Linked DNA regions of Oryctolagus cuniculus. The protein of the gene in region 1 interacts with the protein of each later gene in a pairwise test. Links are inferred from orthologs where the notes say so. Each region holds a gene or a part of one and is shown in the gene's direction. Other genes may lie near its edges. The genes, in order: NDN, CCDC136, P4HA3, FAM131C, SERTAD3, MKRN2 and GKAP1.

Evidence for each region.
Region 2: the proteins of NDN (region 1) and CCDC136 interact in a two-hybrid assay, tested with the Homo sapiens proteins (2 studies listed by BioGRID). The link is inferred for Oryctolagus cuniculus from reciprocal best matches to the Homo sapiens genes NDN and CCDC136.
Region 3: the proteins of NDN (region 1) and P4HA3 interact in a two-hybrid assay, tested with the Homo sapiens proteins (2 studies listed by BioGRID). The link is inferred for Oryctolagus cuniculus from reciprocal best matches to the Homo sapiens genes NDN and P4HA3.
Region 4: the proteins of NDN (region 1) and FAM131C interact in a two-hybrid assay, tested with the Homo sapiens proteins (2 studies listed by BioGRID and IntAct). The link is inferred for Oryctolagus cuniculus from reciprocal best matches to the Homo sapiens genes NDN and FAM131C.
Region 5: the proteins of NDN (region 1) and SERTAD3 interact in a two-hybrid assay, tested with the Homo sapiens proteins (2 studies listed by BioGRID and IntAct). The link is inferred for Oryctolagus cuniculus from reciprocal best matches to the Homo sapiens genes NDN and SERTAD3.
Region 6: the proteins of NDN (region 1) and MKRN2 interact in a two-hybrid assay, tested with the Homo sapiens proteins (2 studies listed by BioGRID and IntAct). The link is inferred for Oryctolagus cuniculus from reciprocal best matches to the Homo sapiens genes NDN and MKRN2.
Region 7: the proteins of NDN (region 1) and GKAP1 interact in a two-hybrid assay, tested with the Homo sapiens proteins (2 studies listed by BioGRID and IntAct). The link is inferred for Oryctolagus cuniculus from reciprocal best matches to the Homo sapiens genes NDN and GKAP1.

The regions. Positions count from the first base shown.
Region 1 is NC_091443.1:13,452,404-13,456,256, reverse strand, and holds NDN (necdin), read left to right. Parts: upstream 1-1,278; 5' UTR 1,279-1,411; coding exon 1,412-2,389; 3' UTR 2,390-2,960; downstream 2,961-3,853. UniProt on the Homo sapiens protein: Growth suppressor that facilitates the entry of the cell into cell cycle arrest.
Region 2 is NC_091434.1:165,016,689-165,020,046, forward strand, and holds the end of CCDC136 (coiled-coil domain-containing protein 136), read left to right. Parts: intron 1-2,191; coding exon 2,192-2,508; 3' UTR 2,509-2,532; downstream 2,533-3,358. UniProt on the Homo sapiens protein: May play a role in acrosome formation in spermatogenesis and in fertilization.
Region 3 is NC_091432.1:65,519,861-65,523,803, reverse strand, and holds the end of P4HA3 (prolyl 4-hydroxylase subunit alpha-3), read left to right. Parts: intron 1-500; coding exon 501-563; intron 564-1,165; coding exon 1,166-1,234; intron 1,235-2,838; coding exon 2,839-2,935; intron 2,936-3,697; coding exon 3,698-3,768; 3' UTR 3,769-3,920; downstream 3,921-3,943. UniProt on the Homo sapiens protein: Catalyzes the post-translational formation of 4-hydroxyproline in -Xaa-Pro-Gly- sequences in collagens and other proteins.
Region 4 is NC_091438.1:153,562,510-153,567,057, forward strand, and holds the start of FAM131C (protein FAM131C), read left to right. Parts: upstream 1-1,447; 5' UTR 1,448-1,689; coding exon 1,690-1,711; intron 1,712-2,928; exon of another isoform or gene 2,929-3,377; intron 3,378-4,548.
Region 5 is NC_091449.1:13,879,004-13,883,476, forward strand, and holds the start of SERTAD3 (SERTA domain-containing protein 3), read left to right. Parts: upstream 1-1,624; 5' UTR 1,625-1,758; intron 1,759-2,673; exon of another isoform or gene 2,674-3,045; intron 3,046-3,289; exon of another isoform or gene 3,290-3,437; 5' UTR 3,438-3,446; coding exon 3,447-4,040; 3' UTR 4,041-4,473.
Region 6 is NC_091441.1:114,689,916-114,693,858, reverse strand, and holds part of MKRN2 (E3 ubiquitin-protein ligase makorin-2), read left to right. Parts: intron 1-818; coding exon 819-1,123; intron 1,124-2,465; coding exon 2,466-2,680; intron 2,681-3,726; coding exon 3,727-3,837; intron 3,838-3,943. UniProt on the Homo sapiens protein: E3 ubiquitin ligase catalyzing the covalent attachment of ubiquitin moieties onto substrate proteins.
Region 7 is NC_091432.1:134,781,614-134,786,066, reverse strand, and holds the start of GKAP1 (G kinase-anchoring protein 1), read left to right. Parts: upstream 1-1,466; 5' UTR 1,467-1,608; intron 1,609-1,873; exon of another isoform or gene 1,874-2,012; intron 2,013-2,096; exon of another isoform or gene 2,097-2,487; intron 2,488-4,453. UniProt on the Homo sapiens protein: Regulates insulin-dependent IRS1 tyrosine phosphorylation in adipocytes by modulating the availability of IRS1 to IR tyrosine kinase. Its association with IRS1 is required for insulin-induced translocation of SLC2A4 to the cell membrane.

The DNA.
Region 1 (3,853 bases):
GCAATCTTTATCCTATAGAAACCTGATGAAAAGTTAAAATGGAATCAAAGTGACCCAAGGGAAGATGAAAATCAAAATCCATAATCAAAAGACTAATGAATCAACATAAGTAGCTATTTATAGATGAATGAATGAAGGAAATGTGGTATATACACACAATGGAACACTATTCAGCCAGAGAAAAAGAATGCCATCAGTCAGTTGAGGTAACACCAATGAGCCTGGAGGACAATATGTTAATCGATATGCACCAGGCACAGACAGACAAATACTACATGTCCTCACTCACATGTAGAAAGCTAAATAAGTTGGTCTCATGGAAGGTGAGATTAGAAAACTGGTTATCAAAGACTGGGAAGAAGAAGAGAAAGGGAGACACAGAAAAGTCAATTACATGCTACATAAATACAATTAAATGCAACAAAAAAATTTCCAGTGTTCTGTATCACATTAGGTGATTATAATTAACAATACTTTAATTATATATTACAAAATAGCTATATGGAAGGATTTTGACTGTCCCGTAACACAAAGAAATGAAAATGTGGGAAGTGGTGGATATGCTAATTACCCTGATTTGATCAATACACATCATATATATTTATGGAAATAGCACCCTGTTCCCCCAAAATATGTGCAATTATTATGTCAATTAAAAATGTAAAAATACACAAAAAATGTCAAAGTTGTTTTAAACCCATTATCTCCAGCATCATTCACATTTTGCACGGACTGATAGGGAATTTACCAATTCTGCATTCCTCCTTATTTTATACTCTTCCTCCTCCTACTCTCGGAATTTTGTAGGGAGAGACTTCATCAACTCTTACTGGTATTTCCCAGGATTCCAGTCTCAGATCTTCCCAAAGTTCGCATATTTTCTTAGAGAATCCCAACTATTCACATTCTCTTGAGGAATCCCAGCTGCTCCTCTCACTTGGTCGCAGGAAACCGGGAGCTCTCTCTGGGACGCTCCTGTCACACTTAGTCCTGGACAAACCCAGGTGGACCCTTGTAAGAAACTCTACCTCACCACGTGGGAAACTGAAGTTACCATCTTCCCCTTTAAACTTGCCCCTTCCTCAGCGACCACCCAGCCCCTCCTGCCCTCCCCAAGGCCGCCTCGTCCACGCAGGAAACCCGGGGTCATTCCCATCAGGCCAGCAGCGGCTCCACCTCAGACCCTCGCCGTCGGGCGCACAGCCCCTCCCCTCCCGCCCAGTCCGAATCGCGCGGCCCGCGGACGCGCAGGCGCAGTGTCCCGTCGTCCCGCCGCCGCCCCGCCCTGCCCGCCGCTGCGGAAGGCGCCGCGCGCAGCTACGCGCACTTCCTCTCAGGGAGACCGCGGAGGGAACGCAGGCTCGAAGAGCTCCGGGACGCTGAGGCCCTGCTCCTGTCAGACGGCGCAGACATGTCGGAACAAAGTAAGGACCTGAGCGACCCCGACTTGACAGCCGAGACCCCCAGCCGCGAAGTGCACAGCAGCCCAGGGGTTCCGGCGGGGGGCCCTGCGCCCGTCTCCCCTGCAGCGACCCTCGCAGGGCCACAGAGCCCTCCTCCAGGCCCGACGGCGCTCTCACAGCCCGAGCCGCCGCCCCAGGCCCCGAGCGATGAGGATGACCCGAAGGCCCTGCTGCAGGCAGCTGAGGAGGGCCGCGCCCACCAGGCCCCGAGCGCGGCCCAGCTGGGCCCCGCGCCGCCCGCCCCGGCCCAGCTGGTGCAGAAGGCACATGAGCTCATGTGGTACGTGCTGGTCAAGGACCAGAAGAAGATGATCATCTGGTTTCCAGACATGGTGAAAGATGTCATTGGCAGCTACAAGAAATGGTGCAGAAGCATCCTCAGGCGCACCAGCCTCATCCTCGCCCGAGTCTTTGGGCTGCACCTGAGGCTGACCAGCCTGCACACGATGGAGTTTGCGCTGGTCAAGGCTCTCGACCCCGAGGAGCTGGACAGGGTGGCACTGAGCAACCGGATGCCCATGACAGGCCTTCTGCTCATGATCCTGAGCCTCATCTACGTGAAGGGCCGAGGCGCCAGAGAGAGCGCCGTCTGGAACGTGCTGCGCATCTTGGGGCTGCGGCCCTGGAAGAAGCATTCCACCTTCGGGGACGTGAGAAAGCTCATCACCGAGGAGTTCGTCCAGCAGAATTACCTGAAGTACCAGCGCGTACCCTATGTTGAACCTCCGGAGTATGAGTTCTTTTGGGGCTCCCGAGCCACGCAAGAGATTACCAAGATGCAGATCATGGAGTTCCTGGCCAGGGTTTTTAAGAAAGATCCCCAGGCCTGGCCTTCCAGATACAGAGAAGCTCTGGAGGAGGCCAGAGCTCTGCGGGAGGCCAGTCCCAGTGTCCACTGCCCCCGAAGCAGTGTGTCTGAGGACTAGTGAGGTCTGGAGGCAGATTGATGGTTTCCAACCCCCACCAGGGCTGTGGAAGGGTGGGGGGCAGGTCTTAGAGTATTCAGGATTTACAGTGCAGTATTTCACGTGTAACCTTTCAGTTATCAGTACAGTGCTTTTATACCTTTTAATGCAATGTTGTATTCATTTGGGTACTATCAAGTAGTGTCTAGCATTTATGCATGTTTGTTTATAAGTAAGCTCTGTTGGTGCTTCGCTTTTGTGCTACCTTTCTTGGATTTTTTGTACCAGAGATGTGCTAAACTTATGAAATACATTGAGAAGTTTTCCATCTTATTCTTTTATATGGGACGATTGATGTGTACTGTATGATTGATGCACCTGGTGAGTGTGGAGAACTCACCAGCAAAGCTGGCCTAACCAAGAGAAAAGCCTAAGGCCCCTCTTTATGACCTTGATGGGCATGAGCAACATCTGGAGTGAACTGTTTTGAACTGAGATGGTCTCAATGTGGGCACTTGGCACACTTTACTAAACACATATACAACCTACCATGAGTAAACTTTAAACATTAAAGATTCTTGTGATACAATCATTTTTGGAGAACTGTACTCTATCATTTTAATAAACGGTATCATAGGGAATGAGAAGGGATTCCCCATTGTACAAAATATGCAAATACTTCATGATTAATCCTAAATGTGTATTTATATTGTATTATAAATACAACTCATATTTGTTTCAAAAGGTTTGAGAAATACAGAATGTGTAATGTCCCCAAAACAAGTAAAATTTTCCACAATCATAACACAAGGAAATAGCAATTGATCATATTTAAGATAATTTCTTGCCTTCATTTTCTATACTTTATCAAAGTTAATAGCTGCCTTTAGTGGTCTCTTAAAGAGGGAGGAATAGTGTTTTGTTAACTTTTGCCTTTTATTTAGTGCCCTCACTAAATAGTCGCTTATTACATCCACACAATGGAGGAAATCAGGAACAAAGTAGGGATGAACTTTGTGTAACTCACATAGCTGAGTAAAAGAGGGTGCTAGGATTTGAACCTATGCTATGAATCTGGAGCCCACATTCGTGCCCCTCAACCTACAACTCTACCTGTACCTCCTGGTTTTAGTTTGTTTATTCATTTTTTAAAAACTTAACTTTCACTCTTAGCTCCTAATCCCAACACTCAGGGGCTCAAGTGCCCCAACCACCCAGCCCCACAGACTAGTTAGGGATTTTGTTTTTCTGATTCATATCTTTTAGGCAAAGCGATATTACTCTGATTATAAAAACTAAGAAGCTTTGCTTCACAGAGATTGGTTGACCTAACAAAGTCCTATCCTTTCTTAGCACTGAAGCCAAAGTTTGAAACATGAACTTTCCTGAGGGTTGGAGATGAAAGAGCCCTCTCTGACAGGAGGTGTCAGGGGACCACACCTGACACTTGGGAGGCAGTGGTGGGGTTGAGGTTGGGAGGTTGCC
Region 2 (3,358 bases), on another chromosome or scaffold:
CTTTCCCCAGCTCCACCTCCGCCAGGCCGGGTCACAATGAGAGGAGGGCCCTCCTGGGGGCAGCTGCGGATCCCAGAGCTCTGGCCACACCTCGGTGTTCAGCTGAGTCTCTCTCTCCTTCCTCCAGGCTCTGTCCTGGTGAGCAAAATGCGTCATCTCAACGTTAGCTTCTCCAAATGTAAACAAAAGATGCTTAAGCCCTGCCTTCCTCAGGGGATTTTTGTGAGGATCAGATCAGCTGAATTAATGAGTGTGAAAGTATTGTGTAGGCTATGAAATACTACATGCATAATGCAAGGAGCACACACCTCCGTAATGCATATGACAAGCTGGCCACTTGCAGTCACTTGATTTATAGAAACTAATTCATCCTTCTTATGAGGAAGCTATGACTGTGAATACTGTCATTTATAGACGCTCACAGCAAGACATGGGGAGGCTACGTAATACAGCCAGGATATCGTGAGTCGGGTCATCAGGACGGAATATGAGCAGCACATGGCATTCTGCCCCCGTTTGTCCGTGTCACCTCCTCTCGCTCTGCACGCTGTCCCTCTGTGGGCCCCCACATAACTGGAAAGACGCCACGTTTCTGTTTATGCAATGCCGGGTAACGGAGCTCTCGATAACCTCCTGTGTTGTTTAGGAAGCCCCTGCGCGCCCTGCGTGTGTTCAGCACCCTCTGCTGCACGCGATGTCTTGGGTCCCTTGGCAGAATTCTCCATTCTGAGTATTCACATTGTCCCCCAGGGTGACAAGTATGCCTCCTGCCCTCATCCAGGCTGCGAGTGGGGAGCCAGTCTCCTGTGTGTTGTCGCCCCAGCTTCTCTTTTACGCAGCCCTTTGATCACTAGCAGGTGGTCATGCAGCAGGCTACACCATCAGCCTGCTCTTACTTGCACGTATCATCTGCAAGGATATCACGGAACATCCTGTCGCACCGCTTGATGGAATCTCAGACACGATTCCCAGGCTGTCGGCAAGGCTGGTGGGACGCGCTCCTTCGGGACCCCGAAGCTTCCCTCTGCTCACGCGGTGTGGACTCCGGCCTCTGCCAGGGTGAAGTCCACCCTTCCAGGCTGATGGGTTTCTGCCCGTCCTCCCGCGAGAACACCACACTGACACGGTTAGCTGCGCACAGTAGGACGCGACATCCGGGCAGTAGCCCTTCTAGCCGCCTTCTCAGTTCATGCTTACGTGAGTTACTCTGAGTACCCACGCCCGCGCGGTTTTGCTGTCCATCTCGTGCCTTCTGTTCCTCCCAACAACTATGTCTTCAGATTGAGGAGGTTGTCTCTGCCCTCTAGAGTGGACTTAAATCCTCTTTTCAGATCCGTTATCCTCTGAGAAGCTGCTGGTAGCATGAACGGCCCTACTCCACCCTTACCTAAAACCATCCTTGCGTCACGTACGCGCCATAGCTCACGACTAAAAATCCAAAGCCCGCCTTTCAAGGAAGACAGTTAAAGAGCTAAGAACAGGAACTGTTTCCCCGAGTATGGATTTTCTCGTTGACGATTTCCCAGGCACTAGAGGATGCTCTCTGGGTGTCTTCTGCTGGCATCATTGTTGTCCCGCCGACCAGCAGGGTTCCCTCGCAGGCTCTAGCACACGTGCCAGGAAGTCACCCGTGGGCGGGGCTGTCTTAGTGAGCCTGACATGTGCCTCCCAGGGCCACTATCAGGCTTCTTTTAACTTCCTTGAACCAACTCCATTCTGCATAACAGGTTTGGCTGCCAAAGAACTCCTACTTTCCTGCACTCCCTGGGGCACCTCCCCTCCCCCCTCAGTCTGAGTTCCTTTCCCTTCTATACGGCTAACGAGGTGCCACCCCTTTTCCCAAAGGCCTCAGTTGACTCTCTGCTGACCCCCTTTCTCACTGCAACCACTTGGAGAATCTGCAGTCTGGCCCCTGGGCTGCTCCCACACATACAAGTTAGTGTTCTCCCACTGGGAGAGACAGGGGCATGGATACAGGCACGGACTAAGGGGATGCGGCCAGCATGTGCTGTGCCACAGACCTGGCGGTGTCAGGGCCCAGGGCCCACACGGTCTCCACGGTTGCCCAGGAGGTATGAGGTGACCCATGGTGCCCCGGAGGTGTGTGTCCCGGGCACCAGCAGGCAGGGGGTCTCTGGCTGAGGGACGGGTTCAAGGCTGGGCACTCACGGCTTTTCTTTGGTCCCCACAGAACATGTTTGGGATGTGGAAGCCCATGGTGTTCTTGGCTATTGCAGCTGTGGCTCTGTATGTGTTACCCAACATGCGACCGCAAGAGACACAGCTCTGCCTCATGGAGTGATGGCGGACCTGGGCCAGTGGAGAGGGCAGACCCCCAGCAGCAGCCACTCTCACCTTTGGGCAGGATGCACTGTACCAGAGCCCCCACCCTACCAATGTGTCCCATGTGTCCCTCTCTCCTTGGCCTCAGTCACTCAGGCTGCAAAGCCTTATGGGAACTATTGGCTCCCACCTCCTGCCTTGTATAAGAACCTGGGTTCCTTGTAATTAAATATCAACCTAATCACGTGAGACTTGTGGCTTTTTATTTGCTGAGTGCTTCGCACCATAACCAGGACAGGATGGTTCCTCCTTAACCAAGTGCTCACACAGGGGTCTGGCTCCCCAGTGTGATCTCTCGCCCTACAGTTGGCCTCAGATACAAGGCTAGCTCCCTGGGCCGTCAGCTGAATGGCAGATGGATTTGTCTCCGCTTATTCAGCCCATCTCAAGGAATTCATCTAAGCAGAAAGAAATGCAACGGACTGGGTATCTGCTGGGAGGCGGGGCCAAAAGACTTGGCTCCTGTGTCCCCATCTGTGTGACGACACCCTGAGACCTGTGTGGGAGCTCTCGTGGCTTTTCCCTTGTTTGTTCTACTTAGTTGGTCAGGATCCTGGCAGTAAATGGGTGGCACACTCCAAGAACTAACCAAAGAGTTTAATGAAGGAACTGTCGGGGCCGGCCCTGTGGCGCAGTAGCTTAATCCTCCGCGTGCGGCACCAGCATCCCATATGGGCACCAGTTGGAGTCCCAGCTGCTTCTCTTTTGATCCAGCTCTCTGCTATGGCCTGGGAAAGCAGTAGAAGATGGCCCAGGTGCTTGGGCCCCTGCACCTGCATGGGAGACCTGAAAGAAGCTCCAGGATCCTGGTTTCAGATCAGCACAGCTCTGGCCGTTGTGGATGTTTGGGGAGTGAACCAGCAGATGGAAGACCTTTCTCTCTGTCTCTTCCTCTCACTGTCTGTAACTCTACCTCTGAAATAAAATCTTAAAAAAAAAAAAAAAAAAAAAGGAACCGTCTACAGAAGGCAGAGCGAGGAAAACCAACATGGCGTCGTGCAGCGCCCAGGCTTCA
Region 3 (3,943 bases), on another chromosome or scaffold:
TGACTGCAAGCTTTTCAGGGGATAGAAGTGCTCGGAGATTGGATGTGAGCAGTTGGACAACCGTTAAAATGTACTGCAATTCATTGAACAGTACTCTTAGAGTGGGTGAATTTTATGGTATGTAAATTATATCTCCAACTGTCTACAACAACAAAAGGACTATGTCTCTTTAGCAAATCTTTGAGAATACCAGTCTTATAATCTGTAATATTTTCTATATTAATTTCCTTATTTTAGAGAATCCAAGGATGCAATTAACTGCTCATATAGGTACTTTTGCCACTGACAAGTAGCTCTGTTTTGGTTAGTCTACAGTTAATTTTTATGTATACCTAAGAAATAGTGAAAAAGTGTATGGAGTACCTGTCAGCACAGGTGGTACCTACTCCAACAGGTGTAGCTCGGGACTACAACCCCTCTGGATGCCCCCATTGTACCCCTTCCTGTATCATTCTGATGTCATCCATGTAAAACAATGGCATGTTGTGTTTTCATCTCAGTCACCGAGCAGCCCCCTGTACAGAATGAAGTCCGGGAACCGAGTGGCAACGTTCATGATCTATGTGAGTCTTGCTCTGGAGGGGCCAGGGCTTCTTTCTGAATGATTATTCATGGATCTCTATTTTTAAAAACTGGTTTCCAAAAAGATTTCACCTATTGATTTTATCCAGTACTCAAGAGAAAAGTCTCCCAGAATGTTGTGTCAAACAGCATTTTTATTAGCTATTATAGGAGCTAGAAAGAAAGACCAGATGGCCCCCACCCTCCTCTAGCCTACACTGGGTGGCTCTAACTAGGACCTGGTTGTAGGTCGTGGGTTAGGGTGGCAGGTGGGGTGACACTGACGGCCAAGAGGTGGTGGGATTTGAACCACACAGGCCTCCCTGAGGTCCCACATACTAGATGGTTTTGAAAAGCACAGGCCTGCAGGTGAGAGTGTGGAAGGGAGAGGGAAGGAGGAGTCCCAAACCATGCCCCTCTCATGGCCCTGCAGGCCAACACCACTGCCACCGAGCAGCCTCCCCGAAGGGCTTCCAAGTATTTCTCCCCGAGTAGAAATCGCGGTCCTGGGAAGGAAGCGGTGCAGGAACATCACGATGAACACGGGACACAGCAGAGAAGGTGGCGGCCCTCTTAACTCTGCCTTCTTCCCCTCGGGCTGCAGCTGAGCTCAGTGGAAGCCGGAGGAGCCACGGCCTTCATCTACGCCAACTTCAGTGTGCCAGTGGTGAAGGTGAGGAGCTCATGCAAGCGCCCAGCTGACCCTCCCTGCCCTGCTGGCCAGCCCCTGAGCTGGCTCTGGGAGGGGATGGGAAGAGGTTTCCCCCTGCCCATGGCTTTTCCTGCGACCACAGATTGTTCCCCGCTCCTCTGTGTTATTTTGGTTGCACTTGCATTACAAGTAGACGATGGCACGTCCAACTGCCCTGCCACTGCAGAGCTCCCCCAAGTTAAGAAACCCACCTGGGGCTGGAGCTGCTGTGTGGTGGGCGAAGCTGCAGGCTGTGAGGCCGGCATCACTCATCGGAGCCCCAGTTCTAACCCCAGCTGCTCTGCTTCCAATCCAGCTCTCTGCTGATGTGCCTGGGAAAGCAGCAGAGGAGGGCCCAAGGACTGCCCTTCCACTGCCACGCATGTGGAAGACCCAGATAAAGTCCCTGGCTCCTGGCCTAACCCAGATGAGCTGTTGAGGCCAATTAAGGAGTGAACCAATAGTTGGAAGATATCTCTCTCTCTCTCTCTCTCTCTCTCTCTCTCATTCTTTCTCTGTCTCCCCCTCTCTATCATTCAACCTTTCAAAAAAACAAGATCTTTTAAAATCAAAAAGAACTCGGTGTGAGTCACCTTAGGCTCCACTAGTGACCAGTTCCTTCAGTCATTTGCTCATCCAACACTGAGAGCTAGAGACATCGAGCACCCAGAGGAAAGCCCCAGCACTCCCTCTAGCGCGCGCAGAAAAGTGGTCGTAGGGAACAAGATGCTGCGGTTTGAGCTATGGAAGACGGAAGCTGGGCATACAGGAGGGTCATGTGCTGGGTGGCCTGTTTAGCAAACGGCTATTTCCTCCAGATTTCAGATGGGACTCCCCGCAGCCCTGAACTAGTTCGGGAATGCAGTGAGGACGAGGTCACGCCTATAAGGCACTCGGCACCGTGCCAGCTCATCCTAAGCACTTGGAGAAATAGACGCTGGGGATCTGCAGTTTGCTAGGGGGGTTGGAAACACGGAGGCTGCCGTTGCTTCCTTCACTACCTGGGCCGTTGTCTACTTCTGATGGCTAAGGCTGAAGTCAGTCTGCAGGAAGGGTATAGGACACAAAGCCCGAGCATGTGTGTGTGTGAGGAGAGCACACAGGATGTGGAGTCAGAACACCTGGGCTTGGGGCCTAACTGCTCCTTCTTAGCCTCCACTTCTTTGCAGGGAGATGGGATTTCAGTAGTGCCTGTGTCCCAGGGGAGCGTGGGAAGACAGGCATCCGACTCCGTGGCTGATGTTCTAGGGGGAAGTTTGTTCCCCTGGTAGGTTTGTCGGGTGTCATCCCTCACAGATCCCATGACTCCCATGCTTTGCTCTTAGCACTCGCTACTCTGTCCTGGTCTGTTTCATGTCTCTCTCTACTGTCCTGATTTGTTTGTGTCCCCAAGGCCAGGAGCAGGGCAGGCCCTCCACCAGCCAGCCACGTGTGAGTGAGCCAGTGTCCACACATGCTGCTCTGTGTGCATGCCTTGTCCCCGGGCTGCACAGGGCAGCGGTGTCTTTAATGACCCTAAGCACCGGCCCTTCCCCTGCATGTCCGGAGGGCCAGGGGCCTGGGCTGAGCCTCCCTCTTGTTTTCAGAATGCAGCGCTGTTTTGGTGGAACCTGCACAGGAGTGGCGAAGGCGACGGGGACACACTTCATGCTGGCTGTCCTGTCCTGGTGGGAGATAAGTGGGGTAAGCCCTGCCTTTCTGGGAACAACCAGCTGAGGGTTGCAGAGTGGAGTGAGATAGGGGCTGGGTGGGAGATAGCATAGCTGGCCCCCCATCCCCACTCCACCCCACCCTCGCTTCCAGAAGCTTCAGCACAGTGCCACAGTAAATGAGATGATCAGGTGACCAATCAGGTGCCCCAGCAGACTGGGAGATGGCTGGGAGTGGGGGCCCATCACAGACAGGTATCAGGAGGGGGTCCTGCCCTAATTCCTGAGTACAGCCCAGGAGGACCGGGGTGGTGGGGCTGAACCCCTCTGCATCCTCTACCCCAAGAGACAACCACCCAGCCACTGCCTCCAGCCATCTCGCATCTCCCCCAGGAGGTGGCTAACAAGTAAACGCTAAGCAAGCAGTGGACAGATGTGTTGCTGGCGCATCGTAGCTCTGAGGACTGAGTGAGGTGGAGGAGGGCTCTGGTGCTGAGATAGACACTGCCAAGCCAGCCCTTCTCTGATTACCTAGAAGCAGCTGCAGAGCGGAGGTGGCCTTTTAGAATGGAACGAGAGTCCACTTTGGGCTTTGCAGTAGTCAGGACCTCTTGGGCTTTTCCCAGAGGACAATGCCCTCCTGGCTATTTACCCCAGGGAAACAGCTCCTTGTGAGTTCATCGCGGGGTGGGGACTAGAGTGCAGAATTTGAGGAGGCGCCTGCCCGCGCTCCTAGGCATGGCCTCTGTTTGTTCACTAGTGAGCTTGCTCTTTTGTTGGTCCTGCTCCCTCCTAGTGGCCAACAAGTGGATACACGAGTACGGACAGGAATTCCGCAGGCCCTGCAGCTCCAGCCCTGAAGACTGAAATGTTGGCCCAGAGCAGCCGGTGGTGCCCTGTTGCTCTCCAGAGAGGCTGGGAGCCGAAGCTAGGGTAGGAGAGAAGGCAGAGCAGCATCCGGGACGCGGGGAGCAAGGAGTGGGTCTTCACCAGGGGCCCCTTGGCCTCTGCCGTGGCCGTGAGGGTCAGAGCAGAACGGACA
Region 4 (4,548 bases), on another chromosome or scaffold:
CTCCCCCCACTGCCTGAGAGCCTTGTCCAGCAGCGGGGCCACCAGCACAAAGGAGCTGACACTCCACGGTCTCGGACCCTCCCAGGGGAGGACCCCTGCGCAAAGCACCTGACTCCTGGGCCCCAGCTGTGGTGCTGCCACTGCTCGTGACCCAGCCTCCCGTGTCAGCGCCAGTTCAAGTCCCAGTTGCCCCATTTTTGATCCAGCTTCCTGCTAATGTGCCTGGGAAGGCAGCAGATGGCGGCTCAAGAACGTGGGTCCCTGCCATCTGCTTGGGAGACCCAGATGGATTTCCAGGCTCCTGGTTTCTGTCTGACCCAGGCCCAGTTGCTGCAGACATTTGGGGATTGAACCAGCTGATGGTTCAATCTGTTCTCTCTGTCAAACAAATAAGCAAATCTTTAAAAAAGGTTATCTGGGGCCAATGCTTTGGCATAGTTGGCTAAGCTTCCGACTGCAGTGCCGGCATCCTATGTGGGTGCTGGTTCGAGTCCTGGCTGCTTCTCTTTCGATCCAGCTCTCTGCTATGGCCTGGGAAAGCAGTGGAAGATGGCCCAAGTGCTTGGGCCCCTGCACCCATGTGGGAAACCAGAAAGAAGCTCCTGGCTCCTGGCTCCTGGCTCCAGATCAGTGCACCTATGGCCATTGTGGACATCTAGGGAGTGAACCAGAGGATGGAAGACCTCTCTCTGTGTCTCTCCATCCCTCTCTCTGTAACTCTATCATTCAAACAAATAAATAAATAAATGGATATCTGACTTCTGTGAGCCTCAATGTCTTCCTCTGCATAATGGACATAATGGGGGCTGACGCTGGGCATAGCAGGTGAAATTGCCTTCTGCAACACTGGCATCCCATATGGGCGGCGGTTCGAGTCCCAGCTGCTCCACTTCTGATCCAGCTCCCTGCTAATGTGCCTGGGAAAGCAGCAGGAGGTGGCCCAAGAGCTTCAGCCCCTGCATCCAGGTGGGAGACTGGATGAAGCTCCTGGCTCCTAGATTTGTCCATTGTAGCCATTTGGGGAGTGAACCAGAAGATGGAAAATCTCTCTCTCTCTCTCTCTCTCTCTCTCTCTCTCTCTCTCTCTCTCTCGTGTGTGTGTGTGTGTGTGTGTGTGTCTTCCTCTCTCTGGATGTCACTCTGACTTTCAAATAAAAACAAAATGTATTTTTTAAAAAGTGGACATAATGGGAGTTATTGTGTCACTCCCCACCCCACCCTGCGGCTTGTCAGGCTGTCGTTTCGGTTCAGGGGAGGTTGTTTACATTGTGACCCAAATGCCAGAAATCTCCCTGCCCCCACTTGCCCCTTCCCTGACCTTCAGCCCAGCCACCAGGCGGTGGGAGGCGCTGAGGACCGCTGGACCCCTCCCCGCCGCCAGCCAAGCCAGGCAACAGGTGCGCGGGGGGCGGGGCGGGGGCGGGGCGCCCTCGGGCCGCGCCCCCCGCTCCGCGCCCTGGCAGCTGCGGGCGCGGCGCGGAAGGCGGCGGCGGTGGCGCTGGTGGCGGCGGCGGCTGCGGGGCTACCCGGCGACAGCGGAGGCCCGGCCGAGCGGACCTGAGCCCCGGTCCCCGCGCGCCTGCTCGCCTGCCTCGCGCCAGCCGCGCATGCAGCCCCAGCCCGCGGAGACATGAGCGCCCCGCGGCCCGACGCACCCGAGGCGCAGCGGCCCGGCCCCGCGGCCCCGTGATGGGCTCCTGCGTGTCGCGAGGTGAGGGGGCCGCGGGCCGGGGCGCTGGGAGGGAACCAAGGGCTGGGGGCGGCGACCCGTGCTTCCCGGAGCAGCCGCACCCCCAGGGCCACGGTGCCCTGAGCACACGGGGCAGCGCGGAGAGCCCGTGCGAGGGCACCGCGTTGTGGCCGCCCCAGCAGCCACGCAGCCCCTGCCGTGTGCCTGGGAGGGAGGGAGCCCCTGAGTCTTCCTGGCTTCTCTGGAGGGGCCGCGGGGGCGTCCTCCGCCCCAGACCCCCAAGGCACAGGCTTCACCCCCACCCCCAACCCGACTCCAGCCCCTGAACCCACTTGGCAGGAAGGGCTCTGGTGGGGAACAGGTTATGAAGAAGGCCCCTCCCCCACCTCGTCCCCACCCTCTCCTTGGTCAGGGGACAGGAAGGGACAGAGGACACCTGATGTTCCCAGTAACCCTGGGCCTTCCTCTGCTTCTCACCGGACCCTCCACCCTCAGTCACCAGAGCGGGGAGCGAGCTGCCCTTGCCTGCCTCTCTTGTCTGGGACTGGGGGGTGGGTGCAGGGTTGCACCTGCTGCCCGGCAGGCTGCCGAGTGCATCTCAGGAAAGGTGTTGGCTTGGGGCCCTCCTCCCCTGGGAGTCCCCTCCCCACACAGTGGGGGGGGGGGCAGGGCTGGGAGAGCCGGGCACTTTGGCCTTGGCTCTGGCTCTGCAGATTGAGTCCACACCCGCTGAGCCCACCCACAGGGTCTTGGGGACCGGCTACCGCGTCCATCACTCCCCAGATCTTGCTCGGGTGTACGGGAGGTTCCCTGGGAGGGATGTGGAGGAAGGAGTATGACACCCTTTCCCCGTCCTCTGGACTCTGAGGGTAGCTCTCGGGCACTCAGGGGAGTGGGCCGGAGGGATCAGGGTGGGGAGGGGAAGGAGGAGGCTGGGCCCTGGGAGGTTCATTCGCTGACCCCTGATTCAGCTGACAGTAATGACACCTACTGCGTGCTGGCACCGTGGACCCAGCGTAGCACCTGATCTGTGACAGCCACTGCCCAGCAAGGGGAAGCAGTCTTCAGAGGAGTTAAGGGTCCCTGTGGACAGCTGTCGGTGCCCGAGGGGCTCCGGAAACCTCCAGGGCTCTGGCAGTCTCTGGGTGGGGCCAGCTCCAGGTGTTAGGGGTCCGGGTGGGGCCAGCTTCAGTGTTAGGGGTCCGGGTGGGGCCAGCTCTAGGTGTTTGGGGTCTGGTGATTCCTCAGAGACTGTGTCCCTTCCGCATGCCTTGGCCATCTTGTGCCAGGCGCCGTAGGGCCCCAGCCCCAGATGGACTGGCCTGTGAGCTGAGGGCTCACTGAGCACAGGACAGAGAGGGAGCGGGCAAGACGCCCGCCAAGGTCATGCTGTGGGTCTGGGCCCTGGGAAACCCTTGCCTGGTGCTCCCTCCATGGCACCCTCTGTCAGGGCCATTTGCGGTCACCCTGGCAGGTCTGTGCCGGCTCCACCCATCCTTTGGAAGCCTGGGCTCCCCACGTGCACCTGCAGTTCTGTCCACCTCCTGAGGTTCAGCATGCAAGAGGAGCTTTGAGGGCAGAGGACTGCCGTTGTCCCCAGAACTCTGGGTGGCTGAGCCACTGAGCGGAAGCCACTTGCCCCTCTACTTGTCACTCATCCTCTCTCTGAGTGCTTCCACCTTACCAGGTACTGGTCTGAAAGTAGTGGAGCAAAAAGCTGATTTGGGTTATTTGCTACCATAGTCCCTGTTTGTATCCGAAGCAGGGGACAGCTGAGTGATGTGCCCTGGGCCACACAGCTAGGACTTAGCAAAGCTAGGATTTGAGCCCTGACATGCAGACGTCCTTAGTGTCTATACCTCACCGCCCTGCCCCTGTCCTCCTCCTCTGGAGCTGCAGGCTTCCGCGCGTTCCTGAGACCCCCACCTGGTCTCCTCGCCAGCACCAAGTGCTTCCCAGGGCCAGGCACGCAGTCTGAAGCCCAAGCCAGGGCCATGAGCCCCATTCTGCATGAGGCTGATGCCGTGCCACACCCCAGGCCACCCCATCCCAGCAGGGGGCTTCTGCTTGCTTGAATCCCTGCCACAACCACTCACTAGTTCCTTGATCTTGTAGCTGTATCTTGGCGTTCTCATCTCTAAAATGGGAATCCTAACAGTACTGACGTCATGGGGGTGCTGGGGGGATGAAATGGCTTAGTACTTGCGCAGCACTCAGACTGGAACCTGTCACGTTGCGAGCGCTCAGAGGCTTAGCTGGTGCCCTTGGTGTCGCTCTATGCAGGTGGCTAGTCCAGACCTTGGCTGGACAAGGGGAAGCTGCAGAGGCCCTGGGCGCCAGCTTGCCTCCTGGGAAAAGGCACTTGAGGCCCTGGGGACAGCGGGGAGGTGATTGGGGCCGGATGAAGGCGACTCGCGCTGTTTCCAGGAGCTGTTTTGTGTTCGTCGTCTATTTTTAAGCCACCATTTGTTGGGCGCTTCTGCTGGGCCAGCCTGAGCCTTGGCTCTCCTGACCCAGATAGCTCTCATTCAACCCTGTGGGGCAGAAGTGGGGCTCAGAGATGGGGGTCTGTGTGACCCCAGCGCTGCTGGGGACCCCTGCCCTCACCTGGCATTGCTCAAGGCAGCACCCTTGGGGGGATCATTCGGATGGCTCCTGTCTGCCTGGGGCTGACCGCCTCCACCAGTGTCCACCTGCAGGGAGGAGAGAAGGGGTTCACAGCTGCTCCTCCTGCCCCAGGCCTCCCTGCCAGACCGACCCTGGGGGTCTCCAGTGGAGACTGAGGACTTTCTGCTGGAAACTTGGAGGTCTCCTGATGTCAAGGAGGCGGCTCCAGCTCTCAGCCCCGCAGTACCCAG
Region 5 (4,473 bases), on another chromosome or scaffold:
GCATCCACTGTCCCTTTGTTCTTCAGGGACACCTCTCACTGGCCTGGGTCAGCCAATCTTTCCCTACTCCCCTTCCTATTATACCCCCACCACCAGGTAACTCCCATTGCAAACCACAGGATGGCTTGGCTGACAAGCTCAAACTGGCCAGAACCGGTCTGAGGGGGTTTCAATCTCCCTGCCCACAGGTGGATTGGACAAAACCGCTTCCCTCCTCCCACAGTGAACACCTGTGGGAGTGCGGCAGCACCAGTGTTTTATATCCATCCTATTTCCCTGCCACTGGCTACCTGCTGAGCAACCCAGCGTCCACACCAAGCAGTGGGTGACCACGATACCCGTGCTGCCTGTTGTTAGGGGACCCACAGCACACACAGTGACAGCCCAGGACCACAGTGGGGGAGACACAGGCAGAGGAGCCGGGGAGGGCTCCCCAGAGGGGACCTTTGAGCTGAGTTCCTCCAGTGAGAGGCACCTGGGAACCGAGGGCACATTTTCAGCGTGAGGAAACAAGTTTAAAGAGCCCGAGGCCTGGGCCAGTGCTGTGGCGTGGCAAGTTAAACCACCGCCTGCAGTGCCCCATCCCATATGGGTGCCAGTTCAAGTCCTGGCTGCTCCGCCTCTGATCAGCTCCCTGCTAATGCGCCTGGGAAAGCAGCAGGGGACAGCCCAGCACTTGGGCCCCTGCCACCCACACAGGACACCCAAGTGGAGTTCAAAGCTCCTGGCTTCGGCCTGCCCCAGCCCTCACCGTTGTGACCAGCTGGGCAGTGAACCAGCAGATGGAAGGTCTGTTTTACTCTCCGCAACTCTGCCTTTCAAATAAATAAATCTTTAAAAGGAAAAAAAGCCGGAGACCTTTCACTCTCCATGTTGAGGGCTTGCTGTGCACCTGGCGCTGTTGTAGGCCCCTGGGGTGCAGCAGGGAAGGAAGACAAAATTCCTGCGAACGCGGAAACGAAGCCCGAGTGAAACCATTTCACAGAAACTAGCAGCGAACCCGGGCGAAGGACAGACCGGGAACGCTTCGGGGCTGACGAGTTTAGATTCTGCCTCTGGGGCAGCGGGGAGCCGCGAGCAGCCCCTGAGAGAGGGAGAGACCACGAGAGGACGTGCCGCTGAGTCCTGGGGACCGGGAGGCCCCCGGCTGTGCGGGAGGGGCGGGACCGCGGTCACCCAGGCAACGCAGGCCGCGCCTAACTATTGGCTGGCCTTTAGCTGCGTCATCCCCCAGCGCCCAGCCGCGCCCGGGCTCGGAGCCTCGGGGGCGTGGCCTCCGCGAGTGACTCGGCCCCGCCCGCCCGGAAAGCGGAGCCGACAGCGGCGTAGCAGCCGGTCTTGCCGGGTGACCGGTCCGAGCTGGACAGGAAGGGACGGCAGAGAGCAGCGCTAACGGCCCGGGAGCGAGGGCCGGGGCTGAGCTGCAGGGAGCGGTTTCGGTGCGCCCGCCCCCCCCTCCCTCCACACGTGGCCCCGCCCCGTCCGAGTCGGAATCCTTTAAATGGTCCTGGGCGCTCCCGAGGGGCGGGCGGCGGGGGCAGCTCGGGAGTCCCGCGGCGGCTCCGCCCAGCCAATCGGCGTGCCGCGGCGGGCAGGCTCCAGCCAATCGCAGCTCGCGGCTCGGCTCCGGGGCCGGGCTGGGCGGGCCCGAGGCCAGACGGAGAGGCCCCGGGGCAGCGAGCGCGACTCCTACCCGGCGCTGGTGGGGCGCGGCGCGGCGGGCGGAACGGAGCTGGTCGCTGCGAACTGGTAGCCGAGGTGAGCGGCGGCCGCCCGGCTCAGAACCACACCCGGGGCTGGGGGCGGTGGAGGCGGGGCCTGGGCAGTAGAGGAGGGCGCTGATGGAGGGCGACTGGTAGGGGCTGGGGGACCCTGGACGGGAGGCGAGATGCTTTAGGCAGGATTTTCAAGGGGCGAGAGTTTGAGCTGCGACTCGAGATGTTTGGAGAAGCGAGAGAACCAAGGCGAGGAACTTTTGGGGCAGGGAATCCGAGGACTAGGACAGTGTTGGACTCCCGGGTGGGTTGAATTCGGGGCTCTGTGGCTTCCTGGGAGAAGATGTGAGAGGTCTTCCAGGGCTGGGACACCGAGCAGTCGGAGAAGCAAGGGGACCGGCTAGAGCCGGGGGTTCTCGGAGACCCCGAGACGCAGAGGCGGGCAGAGGGCGCTGAGGAGAGAGCTCGGTCTTCGGGGCTTGAAGCGGGACGCGGAGTTTGGAAAGTGAGAGGACGGAGTTGGGGGTGTGCCTCAAAATTAGGGCGCGCCGTCTCCCGTACCGGCCGGGTCGGAGAGCGCTCGTCGTCTCTGACCTGGGTCCCTGCACCCCGGGATAGTGGGGGGGAGAACTGGGATCCGCGGAACCCGCAGAGTGGGTGGGGGAGGGGCGCTCCGGGCGTGGAGGCACCGGAGGGGCGGGGCGCGGCAGGCGCCCGGCAGCTGGACGTCCGGGTTCCCATCCCCCACCCGGCCGGGCCCCTCTGCGCATGCCCTAAGGGAGGGCGGGGCCGTCCTCCGGTCGGCGAGCTGAGCCCTCTGGGGACTGTAGTGCCGCTACCTGGCGGCTGTTGGCCCGGGCTTCCCAGAAGCCCCCGGGCCAGAAAGGGGCGTTCCTGCGCGGCGATCTGAAGCCGTGGGAGGGGCGGGGCCTGTGGCGGCGCCACGGTCTGGTTGGCTGGGGCCCCCGGGGGCGGGGCTTGGCTAAGTTTCGTGGCGGCGAGTTTTCCTCGGGGCGCGCAGTGGGGGAAGGCCCGAGCGCGGGGAGCGGGGATGATTCGTTCCCCTCTCGTGAGCGCGTCCGTTCGTTAGGGAAGAGGGCATGGACAGAAATGCCCTGCCTGCGAGAGAAGAGTCAGGGCTCGGAGGGGCCCTAACGGAGCTCCAGGCAGCTCTGTGGGACACGCACTCAGCGGAGTAAGTGGCGCCTGAGCGCTTTGTGTGTGCTGGGCCTGGGCACGTGGGAGCTCCCAGACGAGGCGGTGAGAAGCAGTTTTACAGACGAGGAGACTGAGGCCAGCGTCACGCAGCTGAGCAGTGTCCAGGGCACAGGTCAGCCCGGGATTCCCCACTTGGATTCCCCACTTGCAGTCCAGGTCTCTGCGCCTGTCTGTGGGTGACTTGCCTGAAGAAGTGAGAGTTGTGGAAGAACGGTTTCTAGGGTTCGGAAGGACTTCAGTTAGGACCTTGTTCCACAGAGGGGGATGCAGGGTCACTGAGGGCAACAGGCGGGGGCGGGGGGGGGGATCCGAGCCCAGCTTTGCTGGCATCCTGATCACTTTCCTCCCCTCCTTAGCCTGTGGAGTTCAGGTTCTCTCGCTTCTACAGATGAGTAAACAGGTTCCGGTCATTAAAACATTCACCATCAGCTGCGTGAGCCTGCCAGAGAACGCGGGGTTGGAACCGGCCCTGGTGCGTCTGACCTGACCCTCTTCCCTCCCCAGGGCACCGTCATGGTGGGGGGCCTGAAGAGGAAACACTCCGATCTGGAGGAGGAGGAGGAGGAGCAGTGGGCCTGGAATCCAGCGGGCCTTCGGAGCTACCAGCAGGCCCTGCTCCGCATCTCTCTGGACAAAGTGCAGCGCAGCCTGGGCCCGCGCGCCCCCAGCCTCCGCAGGCATGTCCTCATCCACAACACCCTCCAGCAGCTGCAGGCCGCCATCCGCCGGGCCCCCGCGCCCACCCTGCCCCCCGAGCCCCTCTTCTTGGGCGAGGAGGATTTCTCCCTGTCGGCCACCATTGGCTCCATCCTCAGGGAGCTGGAGACCTCGATGGACGAGACCGAAGCCCCGCAGGGCCCCCCGGCTCCCCCGGGCCTGCAGAATCCAGTGCTGCCCCAGCCGGATCCGGTCTTCCTAGAGGCTCTGAGCTCCAGGTACCTGGGGGACGCGAGCCTGGACGACTTCTTTCTGGACATCGACACCTCTGCGGTGGAGAAGGAGCCAGCACTGGCCCCGCCGGAGCCCCCTCACAACCTCTTCTGTGCACCAGGCTCTTGGGAGTGGAATGAACTGGATCACATCATGGAGATCATTCTGGGGTCCTAAGACACTGACTGGGGGGCCTTCCTCTGGGCGGGCTGGATCCCCGGGTACCACTCTGTGTGTTTTGCTGGGGGCTCAAAGCAGGGACTGTGGCCCCCTCGCCTCCCATGTCAGGGTTCCACAAACAGTCTTGCATGTGTGTGTGTCTGGTTAGCGCAGCCTTCTGTGAAGGTGCGTCTTCCTGAGTTAATTTATCTCTTCCAAATGCCTTAACCAGGACTGCCTCTGGGAGTCCGATTTCCCACTTACACATTTCTTCTGCCTCTCCCTCCACTTCCTGCTCCTCTTGTGACCCCTGGCGCCCTCAGGGCAGATGAAGCTGGGCCCATCAGAGGGGGCAGGGATGTGCTGCCAGGTTGCCATGGAAACCCAGTCTCTGCCTCTGGCACCTCGAGGTAGGGGGAGGAGCTGGTCTTCTCCCCCTGGGCTGAACCCC
Region 6 (3,943 bases), on another chromosome or scaffold:
GCATTAGGAAGACCAGAAGAAGGGATTTTTGTCAGCACGGAGCTGCCGTCTTCAGAGTGTGGCTGTCCCGTTGGCAAGACAGCACTCAGTTCAGAGCTGAGCAGTTCCATAGAGCATGCTTCACTGTTTGACTTGAGGTCAGCGTGGGCAACCTCGGCACACAGAGCAGTGTCGGGATGTGGGGGGTGTCATGCCCTGGGACAGGGAGGGCAGAGGCTGCGGGTTCTGGAGAGTCTGCAGCGCCTCCAGTTGGCACTGTGAGGTAGGCAGGTTCCATCCTGAGCAGGGGCCATGGCAGTGGACGTGCTGGGAGGGCAGCCCCAGGGTGCAGGCTGTCTGGGGGGGAGGTGGCCGCGGCACTAGGCTTTTATTCAGCTTGAGTTTCAAATGAGAGGTAGTTTGGCTTAGAGAGAACCCCACTGTTTCTGTTGCCCTCAATGTAACTTGCCTTTGACTCGTGTCTGAGTTTTTTTGCTTTAGTATGACTAGTCCATGTATGACATTTTTAGACATGCCCATTGTAAGCAGCAGTTTTAGTGTTTGATGTGTAAATATATCATGTTCTGTTTTGGCGTTTCCATCTTGCCATGTGTGTGTGTGTTTTTTTTTTGTTTGTTTGTTTGTTTGTTTTTTGCTTCAGCACTCCTACTGAAAGAAGTGGCATTATGAACATTTTAAAGTGTTCTGTTCTTTATTTCTCTTTGGCCTGTTCCAAGGCTGGAACTCCTTTGAGTTGCATGATTGGTTGGTTTTGGCTGATGGCTTCCTGTAGAGATGGGGCGGGTTTCATTTGTGTGCACTGTGTGTGTTCTGTTCAGATCTCTCAGGCTTGGCCGAGGAAAAGGCTCCTCCCAGCGCAGTGAGTAACCCAGGCAGCTGCAGTGACCCCCAGACCAGCCTGGAGGTGAAGCCACATTCCTACCTGGACGCCATCAGGAGTGGCCTCGACGACCTGGAGGCCAGCAGCTCCTACAGCAGCGAGCAGCAGCTGTGCCCGTACGCAGCGGCCGGGGCGTGCCGGTTCGGGGCTGCCTGCGTCTACCTGCACGGGGACGTGTGTGAGATCTGCAGGCTGCCAGTCCTGCACCCCTTCGACCCCGAGCAAAGGAAGGCTCATGAGAAGGTACAGTCGCACAGCTCTGTGTGAATTTCCTGTAAGGTACAGTCACACCGCTCTGTGTGAATTTCCTGTAAGGTACAGTCGCACCGCTCTGTGTGAATTTCCTGTAAGGTACAGTCGCACCGCTCTGTGTGAATTTCCTGTAAGGTACAGTCGCACCGCTCTGTGTGAATTTCCTGTAAGGTACAGTCGCACCGCTCTGTGTGAATTTCCTGTAAGGTACAGTCGCACCGCTCTGTGTGAATTTCCTGTAAGGTACAGTCGCACCGCTCTGTGTGAATTTCCCGTAAGAAATGCAGAAGCTGCTATGCGACAGGCTCGTCGTACGCCCACATCTCTTGCCAATGGGACCTGCATTGTGTACCCAGCTTCATGGCGTCCTAGTTTCAGGTTCTCTTCCCACTTCTCAGTTTGCCAAGTTTGATTTGCTTACAATAAAGAGAAGAGGAGGCTTCAGAGGTGGGGAGCCTTGCACAGTGGAGCCCTCCCTGAAGCCACGCAGTGCTGCGCTGGGAGCCGGCCACGCTCTGTGTTGGAAGCGTTGAGGCACCACATGATAGGATCTGAGAGCGAAATGTAGGAAGGGACCTACAGGTCCCGCATGGCCTGCCCTCCCATGAGGCTTTGTGCTGGGCCAGGGCTCTGACGATGGCAAAGGCACGTAGGAGCCTCGCGGCTGCAGTGCTGGGGGCCAGGTTCCTTCAGGTTCGGGACGGACATGGTGGCCACCACGTTCAGGGCTCCCCTTGTGGGAAAGGGCGTGAGCAGTGCAGCCGAGGCGTCGAGGGCTGAGTGCTGCCTGCCTGTGGACTGGGAGAGGCAGATGTGTGTGAGGATGGGGCTGTCTCCACGTCTTCCCAGGGGACAGGGTGGTGAGCACAGAATTGGAGCTTTCCTCTCCACCTGGTCATCTCACATCTGTGCCCAGTGAGCTCCCCAGGCCAGCTCAGGGGAGGGACTCGGGGCACGCCTAGCGCGTGAACTCATGACGTCACGTCACTGGGGAGAGGTAGTGCCGCTTACCTGTGACTCTCAGGCTGAGGACTGCGGAGCATTTCTGATAGAGCTGAGGAAGGCAGTGGCCAGAGGAGCCAGGAGACCAGAGCTCTGGTCCCAGGAGCTCTGCCACCCCGCCGTGGTCCTTACAACCCGTCTGGACCTCTGGTCTCAGCTCCAAGCTGTGCCAGAAAGCAGGTGGCTGAGAAGACCTTGCTGTATCGGAGAGAGGCCTGCGTGCGGGGCCTGACCCTCCACTTCAGGACGTCCTCACGGGGGCAGCGGGGCAGTGGCCTCTCCTTGGGTGCGCTTCACTGCTGGGTGTCACCGTGTCCTCTCTGCACTGCAGATCTGCATGTCCACCTTCGAGCACGAGATGGAAAAGGCCTTTGCCTTCCAGGCGAGTCAGGACAAAGTGTGCAGCATCTGCATGGAGGTGATTCTTGAGAAGGCGTCCGCCTCCGAGAGGCGGTTTGGGATCCTCTCCAACTGCAACCACACGTACTGCCTGTCCTGCATCCGGCAGTGGAGGTGTGCCAAGCAGTTTGAAAACCCAATCATTAAGTAAGTACAGCCGGGGTGGTGGCCGTTGCCAGCAGGGCCCTGCCTCGCCCTCCCCTCCCCGCAGTGTCTGCGGGGCCCTGGCCCTCCAGCATGGAGAGGCGGTGGCGTCTTGACCTGCTGCACCACAACACTGGCCCTCTGGTTGTTTTTGTTATTCACACTTGAAAGGCAAAAAGGTGGGGGGGGGGGGTGAGGGAGGGGAGAAAGGAGAGTAGCTCCCCTCTGCTGCTTCACTCCCCAACTGTGTGTAGCAGCCTGGGGACCTGACCCAGATCTGTGCCTTGCAGTTAAGTAACACGGAGCAGCTGGATCCCGTTTGTTCCTGCACTCATCTGCTGGTGACCCTCTGGGCTGTCGCCGCTTATAGGCTGTACCTGCTTGTGGGCAAGTCTCTGTGGTCATGCTTTTTCTCCGGATGTGTACCTCAGCGGGAGACCGCGAGACCCCAGGGTCACTTCACAGTTCCCACCAGCAGTGACAGAGCATTCTGCTTTCTGTCCTCACCAACGTGTTTTATTCCCGATTTTAAGCAGCCTCATGGGTGTGAAGCATCTCCTGTGGTCTCAGTTTACATACACCTTGTAGTGAATCATGTGGAGCATTTTTTATGCCCTTCGTGGCCATTTTGGAGAAATGCCTACTTTGTTCATTTTAATGAATTTAGATCATTAATTTGAAAAGTTAAGTTACAGAGAAAACAAGAGAGATCTCTGATTTGATGGTTCCCTCCCCAAATGGCTGCAGTGGTCAGAGCTGGGTCAGGCCAAAGTCAGGAGCTTCTGGGTCTCCTGAGGGGCCAGGGTCCAAGGAGCTGGCATCCAGTGGGATGCAGGCATTGCAGGCATTGCAGGCGGCCCCTGAACCTGCTGCACCACAATGCCAGCCCCTTTACTTTTATTTTTCATGCCTGAGAAGAACCTGTGTTTAACAAGAAATAAGGTTCTTAAAGTCTGTAGTGGTCACACATTAGAGCAAGGAGTTTACTAGTGGAGTGTGCCCAAGAGTTGGAAGTCACATCCCCCTTACCAACCTCATTCTTATTCCAGGTCTTGTCCAGAATGCCGTGTGATATCAGAGTTTGTAATTCCAAGTGTGTATTGGGTAGAAGATCAGAATAAAAAGAATGAGTTGATTGAAGCTTTTAAACAAGGAATGGGGTAAGTGCTTCGAGCCTGCCTGGCTCCCGTTCCAGCCTTTGTCTTTGCCTCTCTAGGCCTTCCCCTCTCTCCTATAAGGATGCGGTCTTAGGAGCTTGGGACCTTC
Region 7 (4,453 bases), on another chromosome or scaffold:
CTAATCACAAAAGGCCTTCTTCCTGGGGCTTGTCTGCCTCTGTGGTTTGGGAGACTGTTAACCAATACGCCTTCCCACCCTGCTTTTGTGAAACCCGATTCACCTTGCGCTGGTGATTCTGCATAATCCTGGTTCCACCGCTTCTTTTCCCCCTCTCTGGGCTGGTTTCCCTCATCTACATCAGAGCTCCTCAAACTCGGACGCGGTACAGACCTCTCAGGCTTCTGGGGTGGGGCATGAGGGTCCACGTGTCTCACGGATGCCTCAGTGATGACCACGCTGCCGGGCCATCCGCCAGACCGTGAGCAGCAAGTCTCTCAATACGTCCCGAGACCCTGTTCTTCCTCACGGTGAGACTGCTGCCAGACAGAGGAGCAGTCCCCGATCGGTGCCTCGCTCAGTCCTCTTCCCGGTATTCCAAGCCTTTACTCCTAATTTCTTAGCGCCGCTTCTACCTGGCTGTCTTGACAACCCTTCAAACCCTTAAAATGTCCGAATCTAACCTGATCGTCGTCTTTCAAAATTCCACCTGCGAACCTTCTCTGTTACAACCGTTTCTTTTCTAAGTATGTACAAACTCAAATCTCTGCCATCTTTGATTTCTCTCTTCCCACGCACAACCAATGAGTCGGTGGCTAGATTCTTCAGATTACTGTTTCTACACCGCATCTCAACCACACTCCTCAATTCCTCCTGTCCAGGTCTCTGCCAACGTGTCTGCATACCTTCACAGAGACATCAGCAGCCCCAAGGAAGAGACGTCCTTTTCTTCTCCCCAGACTGTTGGTAAGGCAAGCTACGAAGTGACTACAGACCCCTGCACTTGCTATCTGCGGCCCCCACTCTCCTGTTGTCTCTGCCACTTCTCAACACACCCAGAGGCTCTGCCGGTTCCGCACACACAACTCTGATTCACTTCGGGAGGCCAGGGGGTTCTGCCTCTCCACTCCTGCGGGCCCACCCCAAGGCCGTCTCCTCCGCGCTGCCTTCCTGCCCGATGCCCCTTGGTCCTCCTCAGCGTGCACCTGCCCCGCTTTCATCTCCCTTTTCGTCCCTACTTTTTGGGGGTGAGGGTAACATACCCCTCCACGCCTCTCTGTAGCGCCGAGGTGTGTTATTCTACGGGGGCAGGGGTCCAATCACGTCACAGTGATTCAGGGTCGCGGGAGGCGGTGGCAGGCGTCCGGCCGGTCTCCGGGGTCCAGCCCCGGCACGTCGTGGCCGGCAGGCGTTGGGTCTCTCACCGTCGCTCCGGGATGCGGAGCGTGACGCCACAGAGACCCGGGCACGGTGCGTCACCGCCCGCACAGAGCCCTCCGGGCGGGCTCGCCTCCGGCACCGGCACTCGCAGCGCCGGCCCCGCTTCACCGAGCGCAGGTCGGCCCCGCGCCCTCGGCCCCTCGCGCCGGCCCGGGGCCCGCTCACCGCGCGCTCGGCGATGCTGCGGGGGCGTGGCCCGCGAGGCCGCCCGCCTCCTCCCGCCGCTCCGGGACGGCGCCTCTCCCTCTCTCTCTCTCTCCCTCCCCGTGACCCCGAGGACCGCCGCGCCGCCGCCTACGTGAGACGTTTGGACCCTGCCCGGCCCCCGTAGCTCCCCTTCTCCAGCAGGTGGTTCTAGTCCTCCCTCTTCCCTCAACTCGGGGCGCGCGCGTCCACCCGCCCGCCTGCGGACCCCGCGCCAGCGACGCCCGTCAACCGAGCAAATAAACAAACCCCAGCGCGGCGGCGGCGGGCGCGCAGGCCCCGCCCCCCGCCCGCGGCTCTCACGCCGGCCCTCCGCCGGGCTTCCCTCCCGCGCTCGCTCCCTCGCCCGCCCGCTCGCTTCCCCGCCCCTCCCCGCAGCTGCGGCCGCGCTGGCCGGCCCGGGACCCGTTCGCGTCCCCGCGTCCAGCCCGGCGGGCCGACGCGCGCCCGCGCCCCGCCCCCGCCGACACTTGACCCTGCCCAGTCCCAACGCCCAGTGCGGCGGCCACCTCAGGAGCTGCGGGAGACGCGGCGGCCGCTGAGGCCCGGTGAGTCCGCGGACGCCGGCCGGCCGGCCTCGCGCCCCTCAGGGCGGTTGCGGCGGTTCGAACGCGCCCTCCCGAGCGCCCACCCTCGGGCTGGTCGTGGTGAGGACGCGGCCCCTGAGGCCGCCCGCTTGGCCAGAGCCGCTGGGCAAGAGGGCGCGGGAGGGCCGGGCTCTCGGGCAGGGCCGCGGGGCGGCCGCTCGGCGCAGGGCTCGGGGGCGCAGGGGCCGCACCGCAGGCCGCGGGCCTGCACCCCGCCGGGGGCCGCCCGGCTGACAGGTGCCGCCGCCCCCGTCCCCGTCCCCGGGCCGCCCGGCGCCTGGAAATTTCTGGAGCGACGCCCCGACCCGCTGTTTTCCACCCTTCGCAGCGCCTGCAGCCCGCCTCGGGGCTCGCCGGGGCCCTGGTTCCTCCTCGGCGTACTTTGCGAGTAAGTTTGGAAGCATCGGGTGAGATTTGGCTTTGGTTCACGCAGGAGGTATAGTGAATTACTTTTTGAATATCGAGCTCCTCCTCCCTGCCAGCTCTGGAAACGGAGCGAGGCGAAAATTTAGACTTTTTTTTTTAATCTTTGATTTTTCTTTTTTTTGGGGGGGGGGCTGTTATTTGGCACAGTCTTTCAGGTTTTTTTTTTTTTTGGGGGGGTCAGATTTCTAGCATTTACGTGTTTACTGCATGTTGACGGGTAATGACAAAAGTAGTTTCTCTGTCCTTTTCTCTCCACGCTCGCTCTCCCCCTTTTACGTATCGGCCTTAGCCAGATTTTTCACTTGAGTAGATGCTAACGCTGTCTTAAGAAGTGCTGATGAAAAATCATCTTTCTTATACCGAAAAGCCAGTGAGTGATGTTTTCTTTCCTACACCTTTCAGCGATGTCTCTGCGTGCGTCTAACTGAAATAATCAGTTTAAAACACTTGACGTGTGTCGCTGTGAAAATGAGAAATAGGGCGTTGAAGTATTAGAATCCTTGATCTATAGGACTTAATAGGATCTATAGGATTTTTTTTTTCCTCAACCGTTGGTGGCTGTCAAATTCTCATTAATTAATTAATTAATCGTCTATTAATTGTCATAAGTGGTCTTGGTAACTTTTACTGAGAGACGTCAGCCCTCTGGAGAAAATCAAGAGCCTACAATTGACCAAGCGAACACTGGGGACGGGTGAAAAGACCAGGGCTTTCTTATCCGTGACAGAAGCCCCTGGGTCCCCTCTCAGTGCCTGCTCCTACTCCTTGCTTTGATTTCTCAGCCCACAGAAAATTGGGAGCTGTGGATTTAGGGGATGCAGTACTTAATTGTGAGGAGAAAATGGAGTTTGGGCACGTTATGTTGTTTGTTTGCAGTAGGTGGGCTGTGAGCAGGTGGGCTGTGAGCAGAGTTCCTGTATGCACTTGGCCGTTTGCTGTGGACATTAGTTTTTCAGAAGTCAAATCGAATGATACAGTCGTGTTAGGAACAGAACCTGAAGTAATGAATTGTTTTAATGTCTTAAATCAGTGATGTCCAGTGCCGTTTCATGTTATCTCCAATCTAAACTGCATTTCAGTGAGGCCACGCCAGTTGGCGCCTACATCATATTTATTCTTTTTTTTTTTTTTTTTCTTTTTGAGTGAGGCTTTCTGGTTGATGGTATTCCTTTTATTAGAAGGGAAGTGGGGAACCCACGTTTTGGTATAACAGCTTAAGCTGTGGCAGGCATCCCATATGGGTGCTGGTTTGTGTCCTGCTCTGCTTCTGATCCAGCTCCCTGCTAAAGGCCTGGGAAAAGCAGTGGATAATAGCCCCAGGGTTTGGGCCCCTGCCGACCAAGTGGGAGGCCTGGATGTAGCTTCAGGCTTCTTGCTGGCCCTGCTCCTTTGGACTGCCTCAGCACTGGCCTTTGTGGCCTTCTGGGGAATCAACCAGCAGATGGAAGATCCCTCTCTGTAACTCTGACCTTCAAAGTAAATAAATCTTTAAAAAAAGAAAGGCAGGGGACAGGGATACGGAGCCAGTGTTGTGGTCCAGCCAGATAGGCTGCCACTTGAGACTGTTCTGAGTCCTGGCTGCTCTGCTTCCAGTCCAGCTTCCTGCGAATGCACCTAGAAAGACAGCAGACCTCGGCCACCTGGTTGGGAGACCAGGATGGGTTTCCTGGCAGACCTTAGGCCTGGTCCAGACTTGGCTGTTGCAGCCATTTAGAGAGTTAGCCAACGAATGGCAGAACTGTCTCTCCCTCTATCAGTCTGCCTTTCAAATAAATAAATAAATCTGAAAAGAAAAAAAAATCAAAAGGGATATATTTGATTGCTCTGAGTTTTTGAGGTGCCCTAATTATGATCTGCTGGATTGAAATATGGTGGCTGTCTTCTTTCCTGACCTAGTGAGGTCACAACTTACAGATGAGATCATAATACCGGAAACCCAAGAGTACAAGTATTTCAGAAGCGCCACTGCTTACTGT